Linked DNA regions of Schizosaccharomyces pombe. The gene in region 1 interacts genetically with each later gene. Each region holds a gene or a part of one and is shown in the gene's direction. Other genes may lie near its edges. The genes, in order: ppc1, hst2, mis16 and clr6.

The links.
Region 2: mutations in ppc1 (region 1) and hst2 impair growth when combined (synthetic growth defect), as found in Schizosaccharomyces pombe (one study listed by BioGRID).
Region 3: mutations in ppc1 (region 1) and mis16 impair growth when combined (synthetic growth defect), as found in Schizosaccharomyces pombe (one study listed by BioGRID).
Region 4: mutations in ppc1 (region 1) and clr6 impair growth when combined (synthetic growth defect), as found in Schizosaccharomyces pombe (one study listed by BioGRID).

Annotation. Positions count from the first base shown.
Region 1 is NC_003421.2:1,141,979-1,146,169, reverse strand, and holds ppc1 (phosphopantothenate-cysteine ligase), read left to right. Parts: upstream 1-1,936; 5' UTR 1,937-2,128; coding exon 2,129-3,079; 3' UTR 3,080-3,554; downstream 3,555-4,191. Other genes in the region: ubiquinol cytochrome-c reductase assembly protein Cbp3, read left to right, coding at 263-1,114; cytochrome c oxidase biogenesis protein cmc2, read right to left, coding at 1,371-1,461, 1,524-1,702.
Region 2 is NC_003421.2:1,327,303-1,331,408, forward strand, and holds hst2 (histone deacetylase, Sirtuin family, NAD-dependent Hst2), read left to right. Parts: upstream 1-1,649; 5' UTR 1,650-1,795; coding exon 1,796-1,874; exon of another isoform or gene 1,875-1,876; intron 1,877-1,931; coding exon 1,932-2,308; exon of another isoform or gene 2,309-2,375; coding exon 2,376-2,918; 3' UTR 2,919-3,488; downstream 3,489-4,106. Other genes in the region: ribosome quality control complex subunit Rqc2, read right to left, coding at 1-828, 874-1,005. UniProt on the Schizosaccharomyces pombe protein: NAD-dependent histone deacetylase, which could function in telomeric silencing, cell cycle progression and chromosome stability.
Region 3 is NC_003421.2:582,322-586,441, forward strand, and holds mis16 (histone H4 chaperone, CENP-A recruiting complex CENP-A chaperone Mis16), read left to right. Parts: upstream 1-1,804; 5' UTR 1,805-1,813; coding exon 1,814-1,898; intron 1,899-1,970; coding exon 1,971-2,076; intron 2,077-2,148; exon of another isoform or gene 2,149-2,164; coding exon 2,165-3,266; 3' UTR 3,267-3,572; downstream 3,573-4,120. Other genes in the region: SPOM_SPCC1672.11C (P-type ATPase P5 type), read right to left, coding at 3,585-4,120. UniProt on the Schizosaccharomyces pombe protein: Regulatory subunit of the histone acetylase B (HAT-B) complex. The complex acetylates 'Lys-12' of histone H4 which is required for telomeric silencing.
Region 4 is NC_003423.3:848,687-853,066, reverse strand, and holds clr6 (class 1 histone deacetylase Clr6), read left to right. Parts: upstream 1-1,590; 5' UTR 1,591-1,708; coding exon 1,709-1,748; exon of another isoform or gene 1,749-1,790; coding exon 1,791-1,852; exon of another isoform or gene 1,853-1,897; coding exon 1,898-1,948; exon of another isoform or gene 1,949-1,990; coding exon 1,991-2,108; exon of another isoform or gene 2,109-2,151; coding exon 2,152-2,182; exon of another isoform or gene 2,183-2,224; coding exon 2,225-2,268; exon of another isoform or gene 2,269-2,358; coding exon 2,359-2,404; exon of another isoform or gene 2,405-2,459; coding exon 2,460-2,694; exon of another isoform or gene 2,695-2,740; coding exon 2,741-2,833; exon of another isoform or gene 2,834-2,878; coding exon 2,879-2,987; exon of another isoform or gene 2,988-3,031; coding exon 3,032-3,172; exon of another isoform or gene 3,173-3,212; coding exon 3,213-3,321; exon of another isoform or gene 3,322-3,363; intron 3,364-3,368; coding exon 3,369-3,427; intron 3,428-3,478; coding exon 3,479-3,558; 3' UTR 3,559-3,722; downstream 3,723-4,380. Other genes in the region: spo9 (ER farnesyl pyrophosphate synthetase Erg20), read left to right, coding at 14-151, 220-420, 461-1,042; cys11 (cysteine synthase), read right to left, coding at 3,882-4,380. UniProt on the Schizosaccharomyces pombe protein: Responsible for the deacetylation of lysine residues on the N-terminal part of the core histones (H2A, H2B, H3 and H4).

The DNA of each region.
Region 1 (4,191 bases):
AAACTGCAAACAAATTTAAAATGGTCCAGTAAATTTTAGAGTATACTTAATTAGGAAGAATGATGGCCTCGTAATATTGATCGTTCGTTATAACATTGTATTTGGCAATCAACCTGTCACAACCTCTCTTCCCCTTTATATTGTACGACATTAATCGATCCGTTTTTTATTTCAACCCAACTCCTACGTATTTATTTGCAGGTAATAATTAATTTTATTAATTAAGAAAAGATTATCAAAAGATCCTTATCGTCATTCAGTAATGAGTCGCTGCTGTTTAAATTTGCCATTGAGACCAGCATTTGTTAAGCAGCCGGTATGGGGGAAGAGTATATACGGTCCCTTAAGAAGAAGATTTTCATTTTCTCCAATAAATGTTATTAATCATTCACCTTCGGAAACGAAGAGAAGAGACCCAGTAGAAGAACTCAGATACAAACCCCTTACACCTCCTCAAGATCCACGTAAAGTGGCTCCGCCAAATAGTTTTCTAAAGAAAATAAGTCTTATTTATCAAAAATATATCTCTCCTAAACAAAATTTATATTATGAGGCTACTGGTACTGCAAGATACATGTATTTTGAGGCTGCTCGACAAGCTACCCCCGAAAAAAACTCGCTAGGTGCTTTTGAATTTTGGTACCAGAAGTGTGAAATTCCTATGACATTTCAGTCTTGGTTTCAAATAACGCAATTACATTTGTGGATCCTCCATACTCGCATTCGTGGTTTGCCAAAAAATGAAAAAGTTGCCTTTTCACAGGCATTAACTACTCGTTTCTTTGAAGACATGGAACTCAGAATTCATAAAGATTACCGCATTAATAGCAATCGAATTTCTGGTATGTATCTGAAAGATCTGTTTCAGCAACAGACCGGCGCCATTTTTGGTTATGATCAAGGAATGCTGGGAAGTGATGCTGTTTTGGCTACATCCGTTTGGCGTAACCTTTTCGTTGGTCGCCCAGACGTCGACTTAGTAATTCTTGAGACTATTGTTAAATTTATTCGCCTCAATGTTTATCGCCTGTCATGTTTATCAACCGATGACTTTATCAATGGGAAGGGAGTACACTTCGTCCCACCTGAAGAAAGTGCACAAACAAATATTTGATTAATAAATGATTGCTACTCTAATGATTAATAAATTGACGAACGGTCATGTTTATTATGCAAAACCATGAATCTTTTTTGTAAATAATTACTTTGAAAGCTTTTACCATTACGTTAAATTGAAAAGTAATGAGGAGCTTTTGAAATATTTTATAGTAGAGAATGTTTGTCAATTTAATTGAAATCGTAGCATTATGTTGTATTGGAACTAGTATTTTAATAGCAGTTAATACCGATATTATCGATGCATTAATTAGCTACTTCTTTTCGTCTTGCTTTCCGATAAAGCTTTCTTGTTTAGCTTTATTGTATTCCGACCTGATCTGCCACTCCGATATTTCGTCTGCGCTGCATATTCCATATTAGTTACATATCCTTTTTTATACATGATTGATGAATAAGTTTCTTACGCTTTGGTTAAACAATCCTTCATCGTTTTATTTTCACTTCTACATTTCCAGGTTACGCTAAAAGTCCTGCCAGTAGCGCATTTCACAAAATCTTCAATTTCTTTCTGGCAATTTTTTTTTAATAGCTTTTGGTGCTGTTTCCGAAGATCAAATTCCTCTTCAATTGGAGATTTATTCATTTTAGATAATCAGTAAAATGTTGGTAACTAAACCACGTTACCCAACAGAGCGCAAATAAATGAAAATTTTTAGTCTTAAGTTGATTAAAACACAAACTTAAAATTTATTTTAATTTTAGCTTTTCATAAAAGACAAGCACGAGTTGAATAAAAAAAAAAGGCCTTAAGTGTAATACAATCACAAAGTGTCGCGTTTCAGTCGTTTGTGGTGTCGCTATCGTCTACATTGTTCAATAAACAGACCACTACTTGCTGAATTTACAAGCTGCTAGAGAACTGTTTGGTTAGCATTTCAGATTTTGTGAGTTCTCTAGTCCTATCATTCAGCAATAACGCATACAGTTTTTTAAACGTCGTTTGTTTATTTTTGAGCTCATCGTAAGAGAGGCATTTCTGGGTTGCGATACTCTTAGCTATTTAGAATATATGCCAGAAATGGATAAATCTAACGATTTCTTTGAGGAGAATCCTTGTCCTAACTCACTCGGTGATGTCTCAAGTCTGATTGAAGATTTTATAAACCTTCAATCAAACTCCCAAAACATTGCATTTGTTACTAGTGGCGGCACACTTGTGCCTCTTGAGCAAAATACGGTGCGTTTTATCGATAACTTTAGTGCAGGAAATCGTGGTGCAGCATCTGCTGAATACTTTTGCAAGTCTGGATATTCGGTCATTTTTCTGTATAGAAATTATAGTTTAATGCCATTTACTCGACGATATGAAGGTCCCTGGACAAATTTGTTTGAAAGAAGTAATGGCAGTCAGGAGAAGCCTTGGATTGTCAAACAAGAGTTTCAATCGACAGTATTCAATGCACTCAACGAATTAGATACATATACGAAACATCATCGACTGATAATGATTCCTTATACTACACTCACAGAATATTTGTGGTACCTGAAAGCTATAGCTGAACGTTTACAGATAATCGCTTCAAGAGCATTGTTTTATTTAGCAGCTGCTGTTAGTGATTTCCATATTCCACCGAAGGAATTGAGCGAGCACAAAATTCAAAGTGGTTCTGGAAGTAACAAATTAGAAGTCAAAATGCATCCGGTTCCAAAATTTCTGCGTTTCTTGGTTGACACATGGGCTCCTGAAGCTTCTATTATTTCCTTTAAATTAGAAACCGACCCTAGTATTCTGATTGATAAAGCAAGAGTAGCTTTACAACGTTATAACCACCAGCTGGTGATCGCCAACCTTCTTTCAACAAGGAAACGATCTGTCGCGTTTGTAACCTCAAAAACGGTTGAATGGCTTCATTTGAGCGACGATGACATTGTAAAAAAGGTAGAAATCGAGCAATACATTGTTTCGAGGGCAATTTCGTTGCACAAGGAACGAATTCAAGAGTTCGCAAAGGCACCTTAAATTATGTTTATTGACGATTAGTCGATTATGAACTTATAAAAAGTACTAGTTATGTTTCTTATCTGCTTTAACTTATATGAACTATCGGTTTTTCTTTTAAACATTTTACTCATTTATATTGTTAGGGTTTATTATGCAAACACCAGTGGTACTTTTTTATTTCTCTATCATTTTCGTCTTGTTATTTTACGAAGTTGCTTTATAGCATTTGTAGAGGGGTTTACGAAAAAAATGAAAGGCTTTATAAATTGCTAATACGAGCTATGAATTGAATCGTGTACTATTGGATCTGTTGTAATTTTTTAAAAATTGCAGCTTTTTTTTTAGATACTTATTACTGTTGTAGATTACTCAGGTCTGAAGTGTGTTAAAGAATATATTAAAAATGATGATTAGTTTATAAAAATCAATGTCAGGAGTATATAGAAAGCAAAGACTTGAATTTAAAATGCGCAACAGTTATCTTGAATGAACAAAAAATAAATAGTGAGTACCTGTAAGTAGTAAGCGTATATGATTGTTTCTAAAGCCTTCAGTTCTTTTTGAGATCCCATACTTCTTATGAGTCGCTTCAAACCCCATGACTAAAATGCTCATGTTTAATTGCAAGCTCACGTACACAAACAACGGCGATTGTTATATAGTTCAATGAAAAACCTATGAGATTTCAATTACTTTTAAAACTGTTAGAGAATCAGAATGCAAAGGTTGGCAGCTCGAAAATGTCGAGGATAAAACAAATATTTAAAAAGGCTATTATGGCTTTTACAGACATTGGTAAATAATTTTCTTTATAAATATTTTAGTAGTTTTTAATGTATATGAAGTCGCAATGGTGTAGTTGGGAGCATGACAGACTGAAGATCTGTTGGTCATCGGTTCGATCCCGGTTTGTGACACTTTTTGTAAAACAACACAAGTTTATGTAAAGAATTCTTTATACAAAACTGGAAAAAACTATAGAACAAAGCTGCAAACGTTTTTACGATAAAACTGACCTATGACTTATAATCCAGTTCCTCTGCTTCCTATTGAGACATGTTAAGACGGTTAATCATAAGATTCCATTCTGGATGAATTGCACCATTCATTAATCGTGGTTCTTAAGCTAA
Region 2 (4,106 bases), 190 kb from region 1:
CTGAAAAGGGTGAAAATCTTCGTATAATGTAGTACATTCTTCAGGGTGTTGAGGATCAGCAGCATTTGTTAGTGCTTGCTCCAGTGAAAATATATAACCCTTTACTGGGGGCTTATTAACTGCAGCTAATATGGAGTCGGCTTCTTGAAAAGCAGCTAATAAATCGTTTTTCTTGGTTTCGTCTGCACAGAGCTGGCAAGCAGGGAATAGTGGATCTAATTTTGAACGCCGAAGACAGTGCTCTATAAGTGCATTACCATATTCACCTAATCTTATAGTCAATGCTTTTCTAAGAGAAACTGGTTTGGGTACTTTAATCGGCTTTGTAGAAGAGGATAGTTGTTGGTCAGGTAAAGGTTCGTTAATAGAAGTAGGAGAAGCATAAGCAGTGCTTATTTCATCCAAAAGGATATTTAATCGTTCAGCTGTCATATGAGGAATAGTAGACTGAGATTTATTGTCATTAACGAGATTATTTTTGTCTAAATTGTACTTTTGCCCTACGGCATAAACTTGGTCTTTATCGAAGGTGACCACTCGTAAAAGAGACAGAATCTTGTAATGGCCGTCTAATAGTAAAACATTTCCAGCAGCGAAAAATTCACAAACCAGATAGTACGTCCAATCGGGGTCTTGATCATTCGCACCACCTCCAAATGTGAAAACGAGTACTCGATCAGTACCCAACTGAGAGACACCAGTTAACCTTCTAGATTTTATATGTTTTCGTAGCTTCGTTACAAACCCAGACAAAGGGGCATTTTCTCGATCAAATTTTGTTAAATGAGCACGAAACCCACTTTCAATAACAATAGAATATTTTGCATCCTTTAACGGGTTAGTAAAAAAATATTTATTACTTTCTACACATACTTGTTTACCAAACTTCAACAAGAAGGTACGCGCATTTAGATCATAAAAGTTATTCAAGCGACACCCAACCACTTGTTCTCGTAATTCCGCAGCAATCGCAGCAATATCTAAAGCGGAAAATCTTTGCTTCATTTACGTCTATAACACCTATCTAAATGAATTTCTGCGTTACAACAAAATGAAGTATAGGCTCTAGTTAGAATGTAAACATGTGTATAACGTAAGTGAAACTGAAGCACTAACAAAGCGCAATGATATCCGCAATATGTAATAAGGAAAATTATAGCACACCATTGCACCATAAAACGGTGTACATTAGCAGCATTAAAATTCTTAGCGCAAATTTGGATTGTTCTCTCAAATTCATTATTTCTTTCCCGACGATGATTCTTTAATCGTACATTTATAGTCGTACATGACACTGATTATAAAGATAAAAAATAGTTAACTAATGATAAACTTATAAAAAACTTTGACACCTAATATGTCAAACTGGTGTGACCAACCCAATAAGTAAAACCAGAAAGTCAAGAGTTATCGTTGCTGAATCTAATCAAGTGAGCCGAAAGTTGATTAATCATAATTTCTGATTACCCCGTATCTCATTTTTTCAACGACATCCAGAAACTCTTAATTGAAAAAGATGGCTCTAAATGTTTACCAAATAACGAGTACTAAAGTCGAATACAATAGCCTTTTAAACAGTATAATGCAGTTTAATGGAGCATCGGTAATGGCGTTTGATATTTTCAACGAGTAAATAATAATGGAAATTTGGCGTACCCACAAACTTTGTGCATTAACATATTGATTTGTTCATATCTGAGAATTTTAAGTGATCCAATTTTTGAAAGAGTTTGAGTTGGGATTTTTAAGGTAAATCGATTATTGGCTTGCTTTGGTTGTTCTCAGAAATTCGACAATGGTGAAAAACACTGTTAAACACGTCGACTCTTCCAAGCATTTAGAGAAAGTTGCATCCTTAATCAAAGAAGGAAAAGGTAATGACTTTTAATTTTCTTTCCTTGACCATACTAATGCGATTTTATCGAAAATAGTAAAGAAAATATGTGTTATGGTTGGTGCAGGGATCAGCACTGCAGCAGGAATCCCTGATTTTCGAAGCCCTGAGACTGGAATTTACAATAATTTACAAAGATTTAATCTTCCTTACGCAGAAGCTGTTTTTGATCTATCTTATTTTCGAAAAAATCCGCGTCCATTCTACGAATTGGCTCACGAATTGATGCCTGAAAAGTATAGACCAACTTATACTCATTATTTTATACGCCTTTTACATGATAAAAGGTTACTACAAAAATGTTATACCCAAAATATTGATACCTTGGAGCGTTTGGCAGGTGTGCCTGACAAAGCTCTGATTGAAGCACATGGCTCTTTCCAATACAGCCGCTGTATTGAATGTTACGAAATGGTAAGGATTGTTTTTGAAAAAGTTAAAGTGAAAAAGCAGAAATTGGTTTTACTGACGGAAAACAAAGGCGGAAACGGAGTATGTTAGAGCATGTATTATGCAAAAACAGGTCCCTAAATGCAACAGTTGCAAAGGTCTCATCAAACCAATGATTGTGTTTTATGGCGAGGGATTACCAATGCGTTTCTTCGAGCACATGGAAAAGGACACAAAAGTCTGTGATATGGCACTGGTAATTGGAACAAGTTTACTTGTTCATCCATTCGCGGATTTGCCTGAAATAGTGCCAAATAAATGTCAACGAGTTTTGATTAATCGAGAACCAGCTGGCGACTTTGGGGAGAGAAAAAAGGATATCATGATATTGGGGGATTGTGATTCCCAAGTACGTGCGTTATGTAAACTATTAGGATGGTCTGATGAATTGGAAAAGTTGATTGATACGAGTGTTGAAACGCTGACAGAAGAAATATCTTTACTTTCTGTTGACTCTACAATAGAAAAGAATGCCTCTGAACAAAAGAAAGACGATAACTCGGTCAATCCTTTCACTAAAATAGAGGAGAAGAAAAAAGACGAGGTGACGCTGTTAGTTTCTGATGATGAATAGTTCAGTTATTCGGGAAATTTTCTATATTGTCATGATTAAAACTAGGAGATCCCTATATTTATTATACTAAGAAAACGGAAATTCACGATTCGGTTTGATGAATATTTGAATCTACACATACGATTCGTTTTCTTTTAAACAAGTTTAAATACTTTTTTTTATTTCAGCAATTTTATAATATTTCCTTCCAGGCGTCCTTTTGATTGCCTCTTAACCATGAATCATATTGCTCTCTTTATGAGTTGTATGCTGGGTTAAACTAATGCGAAAAGGATAACAAAAAGGGGGTTCTGTATACGATCTCGATCAAACTCATGAAGATGCCCTCGCATTTTCGTGAAAATAACTTGCATTTTTTTTAAAATTGGCGTCCATCTATATACGCAATTTGGGTTATGAGAAAGTTGCGCTAGAATAATTGATAATGGTTTCAAATTTACTGCACTGTAATCTAATACAATCTTTGTCGAAACCTTTTTTCTGTTCAGTTTGGAACATATAGTTCTGAAATGGGAGATTATTCATTTTCATTTAATAAAACTTTGAATTATCCAAGAATTGGAAATAGGAATAATTAATCAAATTGTTCTTTTTGTAGTTTCATTCAAGAATAATGCTTCCTTTGAAAAACTAAAGCGTTTTCTACGAATTGTATATTGTAACAGGGGACGGTGTATAAACCAGTTAGTCCATCATCATAACCAGTTCTGATTTGAATTTTGTTCTTGTGGTCATTATTGTTCATAAAATGAACTAGAGATGTAAAGACATAATTCATATTACAGAAAACAAGTATCTAAGCGCTTGAACAATTATCAGTTAATTTTAGAACAATTATTAAATTTATATCTATTTTATCTGCATATATCTATGTACCTTTGGGTAACTTATGAGTTGTACGAATTACTGACTACATGGCTGTCACCTCCTGTTCGGTTTGCTAAGAATTTACCGATTCTAACGCTTCCTTCTACCTAGCTATACAAGATTCATGAATTTGATCTATATGAATGCTTAGCAAATAAATAATTGTTCGAAAGCCAGATATATGATTTATAATTAACGTTTTTAGATTTGACGTCAATAGGGATCTTAGGTCTCAATTTCTTTGTTTTGCCATCTTTTTATACAGGCGTGTTAAGCGGTCTGGAAAGAATTTAAAAATAAAAGGGAATGATAAATCGTGTT
Region 3 (4,120 bases), 560 kb from region 1:
AAAAGAGAGAAAAAGTTTCCTAAAGGCTAAATTTTGCCTTTTTTTACTGATGACCTGTTTGTTCTCAGTTTTGTGATTATTTACGCTTATGCACACCGAAAATTTCATCTTTGAATACTTTGAAGTGTTTGTATTTTTTACTGTCATTAACAAAACCGCATTTGAAGTAGCAGGTTAATAATAATGACTGTTAAGACTGCGGTTCATAAAATTTAATTATTTTGCTTATTGTTTTTTTCAATTTCTTCTGTGCCCCGATTAATTAAGGTGTATCCGACAACCAAGGTTTGGATGCTCGATTATGTAGGCAACACAAAAATTTACATGATATGGATAGATCTTTCATAGAAATACCTCTAAATTTTGATGAATTTACTTTAGCAAGAAAAAAAAAGAATGCAATGTTAAAAACTGTTACAATAATTATAAATATACAATGGGTACCAGAAGTCGCTATGAAAACATCTGAAGTAATAAGATTACGATCAACAACTCAAAACGTGCAAATATACTCCAATTATACTAAATTCCTCTCTTATAATTGATATACTGATATTAATTGCCTCCTCAAAATACTTAGCAAACGCAAGCATTATTCCAAAAAAAAGTCGAGACGAATAACGAGCTAGACCACTGTTGGCATGCATTTTAAGGCAATGCGGTATACAAATTCCTCAGTATATCAAAATAAATAACATTAGAAAGAAAGTACTCATCTGGGAATTTTTTTTTTTTAATTCACAACTATATTTAATAAATATTTTAAATTAAAATCAGTAAATTGCTATGATGAGGTTAAAAGAAATAAGAGACACGATTTGAATTGTACTGTTATCGAATAATTTATCAAGTTAGCATGTTAAAGTTTCCACGACAAGTACCCAAAAGTCTGACTACGTGCTATTAAAGCTAGCTAATCATATAAATTAAAATCAGCCAAAACTCATAGTCATTTCACAAGTTTCTCTTTTCAGCCATTGTTTACATATGAAATTTTACTTAGTCTCCAGAACATCGTTTCTAATACCCTAACCTAAGGTAAAAACCGTCACAACAAATTTACTATATATAGGGTCTGTTCAGTTGATGATTCACCATCATCAGTAGGTTTTAACTTACTTTGTTATATAAGTAAAGTAAAATCAATCCTGAAGTCAAGTATGATGGTTGGAGTCTCCGGACCAAGAAAATGCATCCGTTCCGTCTTCAGCGAAGAATTGAGTGGCTTTCCCGGTCGTTGACTTTTTTCCATGGGTCAAGGATGGGATTGTCTCCCAGACATTTTTAATTAAAAAAAGTTTATATTTGATTAGTTTAGATACGTACCCAAAGTTTGCAATACTACATGATTTGTTTAATAAATTTACGGTGTACTGTAAAACAATTCGTAGAGCCAACAGTATAAATATCCCATTGATGGCTGGGTTCAATAGTTTTATTTTTAGTGTAAATATAATGACAATCTGTTTATCAAAGTATACTGAGATTATAATATTTGTTTTTGCCAAATGGTTTTATAATTATTAGAGCATGATAAAGACGATGTTTGAGGAATTCTTCTCACTATGAATGTCTGTTTTCATGGAGACGTGGCATCAAGTAATGGTTTTTAGAGGCATGTTCAAATTTGTTTTCGCTCATTGAAACTTGTTTTCTATATCGCTGTTCATGAATTTTATTTTATTTTTTTTTTATTTCAGACTTAAGAGTGCGCTAGATTTATTTGGGCATCTTTAAATAATGTAAATTACTTATAACTCCAAAACTTTTAACTTGGCAATCTAGTTTGGGCCATTGTGTAGTTGCCCAAAACATGTCAGAGGAAGTAGTCCAGGATGCACCTCTCGAGAATAATGAACTCAATGCCGAGATAGACTTACAAAAAACAATACAAGAAGGTATGATTAAAGGGAATTCTTCATTAATATATATTATTATGCCGTAATTACTGACGATTATACTCGTTTCAGAATACAAACTTTGGAAACAAAATGTTCCCTTTCTGTATGACTTGGTAATAACCCACGCTTTGGAATGGCCTTCTTTGACAATTCAATGGCTTCCTGACAAAAAAACGTACGTTGCTTGCCAAAGTAGTTAGGCTATGATTATACTGGCCTTTACTTCAAACCATCTCATCAGTTTTCTAACTCGATTCTTGAAGAATACCAGGTACTGATTACTCTATTCAACGTCTTATTCTTGGCACTCACACATCTGGTAATGATCAAAATTATTTACAGATTGCTTCTGTGCAATTACCAAACTTTGATGAGGATACCACCGAGTTTACTCCTTCTACGATTCGAAGAGCACAGGCCACGGGCTCGTATACGATTGAAATTTCACAAAAAATCCCTCACGATGGCGATGTCAATCGTGCTCGTTACATGCCTCAAAAGCCTGAAATCATCGCTACCATGGGAGAAGGAGGAAATGCTTATATTTTTGATACAACTTGTCATGATGCCTTAACTACAGGTGAAGCACTTCCTCAAGCAGTTTTGAAGGGCCATACTGCTGAAGGTTTTGGTCTTTGCTGGAACCCGAATTTACCTGGAAATCTAGCAACAGGAGCAGAGGATCAAGTTATCTGTTTATGGGATGTTCAGACACAATCTTTTACTTCCTCTGAGACAAAAGTCATTTCCCCCATAGCCAAATATCATCGTCATACTGATATTGTTAACGATGTTCAATTTCATCCTCAACATGAGGCATTATTAGCATCGGTGTCGGATGATTGCACTTTGCAAATTCACGATACTCGGTTAAATCCAGAAGAAGAAGCTCCCAAAGTTATTCAGGCTCATTCTAAAGCCATAAATGCCGTTGCCATTAATCCCTTTAATGACTATCTTTTAGCAACAGCCAGTGCTGATAAAACAGTAGCTCTTTGGGACCTCCGTAATCCATATCAACGGTTGCATACCCTGGAAGGACACGAAGATGAGGTATATGGGTTAGAATGGTCACCTCATGATGAACCTATATTGGCATCCAGTTCAACTGATCGCCGTGTTTGTATTTGGGATTTAGAAAAGATTGGAGAGGAACAGACTCCGGAGGATGCCGAGGATGGTTCTCCAGAATTACTATTTATGCATGGAGGCCACACAAATCGCATCTCAGAATTTAGTTGGTGTCCAAACGAGCGTTGGGTGGTTGGAAGTCTTGCCGATGATAATATCCTTCAAATATGGAGCCCTTCTCGTGTCATTTGGGGTCGTGATCATGTTCAGGTTTCTCCTAGGGATCTGGAGTAAAGTTGGCCATAGAAAAAAACCCAAACTCACTTTTCCATCCTTCTACGCTTCATCTGTTTTTTGCAATATTCTTTACAATACAGAGTCATATGGTAATTGACTGCTCTCTTTTTTTCAGCTTTTGTATAATTTAAAACAAATGATCTTCGTCGCCTTGTAAATACATCAAAACTACTGTTATAAATCAGACTACATTTCTATAACACCAGAGATTAAATGTTTTGTTTGACCATGATAAAGTAAAAAGGATAGTAACTATTAATATTATACATAACAGCAAAAAAAATCTATTGAACAACAAAAGGGGGATAATATATCTCAAACTTGTTCATTTTGCAAGTCTGCGAATAGGCGTTTGTATAGTTTCTTCGAAACTTTCGTTCGGCGATTAAGTAAACGATTATTCAGGTGAGATATAAAATTGGTCATAGAAATGAAAATGTAATTTTGACCGCTGGCTGCGAGTAAATAATAAATAACACCAGCGAAGATCAAAAAGTTCTGGAAACTTTTGGACGTAGGCGTAAGTTGGAAAAGTTTCATAAAAAAGTTTTTATGATTTTGAAGTCGTATTAACTTAACGGTCAGGATCAACAAAACAACAACGACAGCTGTAAATGAATAGTTCCTCCAAACTTTTTCTCTGTAAGGAGGTCCTATGCTCAAAACCACTCCAATAAAAATATATTGGAAGCAAGAAATTAAAAACAGAGCAGTTACATCGCTATTTGTAATATTCGTATCTGAGCTATTCGCAGGTGGTGGTATATACCAGGGCTCTCTCCGTACTATCCTTAAGGTTATATATTGAATTATACAAATAAGGACGATTTGACCGATTAGAGGAGATAAAA
Region 4 (4,380 bases), on another chromosome or scaffold:
AACCTTCATTTAGTCCATAAAGAGAAATACGTTAGGAGGAAAGAATAATCGAGGACTGGCAGTTTTGCAATCTTTAACAAGCCTTATTAATCGAGAACTTGAAGAAGCAGAATTTCGCGACGCTGCTCTCCTAGGTTGGCTAATTGAAATTGTAAGTAAACTGGTTTTTTAATTCAGATTTGTTTACGTAAAATCACTGGGGTACTGACGGATGTTCAGTTGCAAGGTTGCTTTTTAATGGCAGATGATATTATGGATCAGTCTATCAAACGACGTGGTTTAGATTGTTGGTATTTGGTAGTTGGTGTACGAAGGGCAATTAATGAGTCACAATTACTAGAAGCATGTATTCCACTTTTAATTCGAAAGTATTTCAGAAATATGCCATACTATGTCGATTTATTGGATACTTTCCGAGAGGTATGTTACAATAAATTCAACTAAAAAGCTTACTTTCAAGGTTACTTTTCTCACCGAGTTGGGGCAACAAGAAGATTTGCTTTCATCACGAGACGGAGAAGCCTCGTTACGATCTTTTGATTTAATGAAATATGACTTTATTATCACTTATAAAACATCATTTTATTCCTTTTACCTTCCTATTAAATGTGCTTTATTGTTGTCTCGCAATTCGAATCAAAAGGCGTATGATACGACTATAAAGCTTTCAAAACTTCTTGGTTATTATTTCCAAGTCCAAGATGACTACTTAGATTGTTTCGGTGATTACACGGTTTTGGGTAAAGTGGGAATGGACATACAAGACAATAAATGCACATGGCTAGTTTGTTATGCTGAAAAATTTGCCTCTGCGGATCAGCTGAATCTTCTTCGTGCTCATTATGGAAAAGCAGGGTCTGAAAACATAGCTGTAATAAAGCAGCTTTATCATGAGCTTCAAATACCTGAATTATATCACAAATTTGAAGATGACATGGTGGATTCTATATCCAAAGAAATTGATTTGATTGATGAATCTACTGGATTGAAAAAGTGTATATTTACTAAGTTTTTTCAGCTCATTTACAAAAGGTCACGGTAGCAGTCATTTCATTTTAAATAACCGTTATTATCTTCTTCCTTATTTAAAATTTATTATTTGATGACCTTCCAAATTCTTTATGATACTGATCGACGATTTGTATTTAGGGTTATTCTTAAGGTTTCATATCATTATAGCATTTATGGTTTTTTTCATTATTGTTAAAGATCTGCATTCAGAATTTACTTTTTTAATGATTATCTGGTTGATACATTACTCTACTTGGGAAACTAAGCAAGATTTAGATTATGTAGATGTAAACATTTGGTGAGTAGTATAATAATAACATCAAATGACATTGACGATCGTTGTTAATTGGATTGGTTATGAAAGAATTATTATATTGCTCATTTGAGAAAATGCAAAAACTGTCACTGAAAAAAACATACAGCACATTTTAATAGACATTCCAAGGTTAGTCCTTTTTGTTATAACAGTATTTTACTTAAATTGAACAATTAATCGTTACTTATTTAAGATCTTGAAACACTAGTTCGTGGATGGGAGAAATATTCAATAGAACCAGGCTGCTGCTTCAGCTTCTGACCACTCCATCATAGCAACAATTCTACGCGAAAGCGCTCCGAACCTAACATTTTTAATTGATAACATAAGGAAACTGTTTGCCTTATTAAATAATTGGGAAAGAAAATCCTATTTGAAACTATGGGGTTCGGGAAGAAAAAGGTTTCTTATTTCTATGATGGTACGTGTAAACTAGTAAGATCCTAGCTAATTTTTGAAATAGAGGATGTTGGAAATTATCACTATGGTCCTCAGCATCCAATGAAGCCTCATCGCGTTCGCATGGTATGATATAAAGCTATAACTATTTATCATCATTAACCTACTTAGGTTCATAATCTGGTCGTTAATTACAACTTGTATGAGAAGTTGAACGTTATTGTAAGTTCTATTTCTCCTTTTTATACTAATAAAGTATACAAGACACCTGTTAGAGCAACAAGGAATGACATGACTCGTTGTCATACCGATGAGTATATTGAATTTCTTTGGAGAGTTACACCTGACACGATGGAAAAATTTCAACCGCATCAGCTGAAATGTAAGATTTCATTTCGATTATTTATAAATAACCGTGATTTTAGTTAACGTCGGTGATGATTGTCCTGTTTTTGAGTATGTGCGTTTATCAAATTTTTTATACTAACAATTGTTTAGTGGGCTGTACGAATTTTGTTCAATTTCTGCTGGCGGTTCAATTGGTAAGATAAAAGTTTTTCCCAAAAAAGGGGCTTTGAAGCATCCGCTGAATTTGTGAATGGAGTATAGGACTTTAACTAACATTGGTTTAGGTGCTGCTCAAGAACTTAACTCGGGAAACGCAGAAATTGCTATTAAGTATGTTATTGAGGATTTTTTAGTACTTTGAAGATCAACTAACCACTTAATTAAGTTGGGCTGGAGGCCTACATCACGCTAAAAAACGTGAAGCTTCTGGTTTCTGCTATGTTAATGATATCGCGTTGGCTGCTTTAGAATTGCTGAAATATCATCAACGTGTTCTTTACATTGATATTGATGTTCACCACGGAGACGGTGTAGAAGAATTTTTCTACACTACGGATCGCGTTATGACTTGTTCATTCCACAAATTCGGTGAATATTTTCCAGGAACCGGTCATATCAAGGTATGCATGCGGCTTTATATTTGGATTTACTTTTCTAATATTTTAGGACACCGGAATTGGAACAGGAAAAAACTATGCTGTTAACGTTCCTTTGAGAGATGGTATTGACGATGAATCTTATGAAAGCGTATTTAAGCCTGTAAGTCTTTTTTATAAATTTCTTTGTTCTAACAATCTGAATTAGGTTATAAGTCACATAATGCAATGGTTTCGACCGGAAGCTGTTATTTTACAATGTGGAACAGATTCTCTCGCTGGTGATCGACTAGGCTGCTTCAATCTGTCAATGAAGGGTAAGTAACTACTGTTTCTCGTTTTTACTAATTCCCCTCAACAGGACATTCAATGTGCGTTGATTTTGTTAAGAGCTTTAATTTGCCAATGATATGCGTTGGAGGAGGTGGATATACTGTACGGAATGTTGCCCGTGTCTGGACTTATGAAACTGGTCTTTTAGCCGGCGAAGAGCTTGATGAAAGTAAGTACCAATACGTAAATTGTTTATTAACCCATCCAAGACCTTCCTTATAATGACTATTTACAATATTACGGTCCCGATTACAAGCTCAATGTTCTTTCAAACAATATGGAAAACCATAACACTCGGCAGTATCTTGATTCGATAACGTATGCTACCTTTTGAGTTTTATTCTTACGAGGCTGACCAAATTTAGCTCTGAAATCATCGAAAATTTGAGAAACTTATCTTTTGCACCTAGCGTTCAAATGCATAGTAAGTATAAGCGGTTATCGAAAAATGTGCTAACAAATACTCTTACATTAGAAACTCCCGGTGACTTTACGTTTGAAAATGCCGAAAAGCAGAACATTGCGAAAGAAGAGATTATGGATGAGCGCGTATAGACCTATATAAAATTTTGTATGTTCATGGTGTTTGAATCCATTATACTCGGTTTTTTTGTGTTATTTGAATCATGAATACTATAAAAGCTATTATGTTTAAATACCCTTATTTATAAGAATTCTCCAGCATAATTAGACTTCAGCATTAAATTGAAAATGCTCATTACATATAATAACAAACACTTTATATTCTATACTCTAGATGTGACTTGTGGTTTTAAAAAAAAAGGAATAGCCAAAAAATTAACGCACAAAGAAAGAAGAAACGGAAATCACAAGGTAGTAGTAATTATATGTCTATCCGAAGTAAAAGGTCAAAACAATTAAGGAAGTACAATATACTTCTTGTATTGTGGCTCAATTACATCAAATAATTTTTTACTTTCAAGGAATGAGCGACTGAATAAACGAGTGGCATACTTGTGACCAGAATCACAAAGAATTGTAACCACCGTCTTGCCAGGACCTAATATTTTAGCCATTTCAACAGCAGCGACCACATTTAAGCAAGAAGAGCCGCCCAAGAAAAGACCTTCTTGGTCTAACAAACGAAAGAACATGTTAATAGATTTTTCGTCAGGGATTTTCATAGCATCGTCAATGAGATCGTAAACAGGTTGGACATTTCCAGTAATACGACCTTGACCAATGCCTTCGGTAAATGAAGAACCCTTGTTGTCAGGATGCTTACCCTTCGTTTTGATATGGCTATACAAAACACTTCCAGGGGGATCAGCCACGAAAGAAGCAACACGACCGTCGGACTTCTCCTTCAAATACTTGGTAACGCCGGCAAAAGTACCACCAGTACCAGTAGAGCAG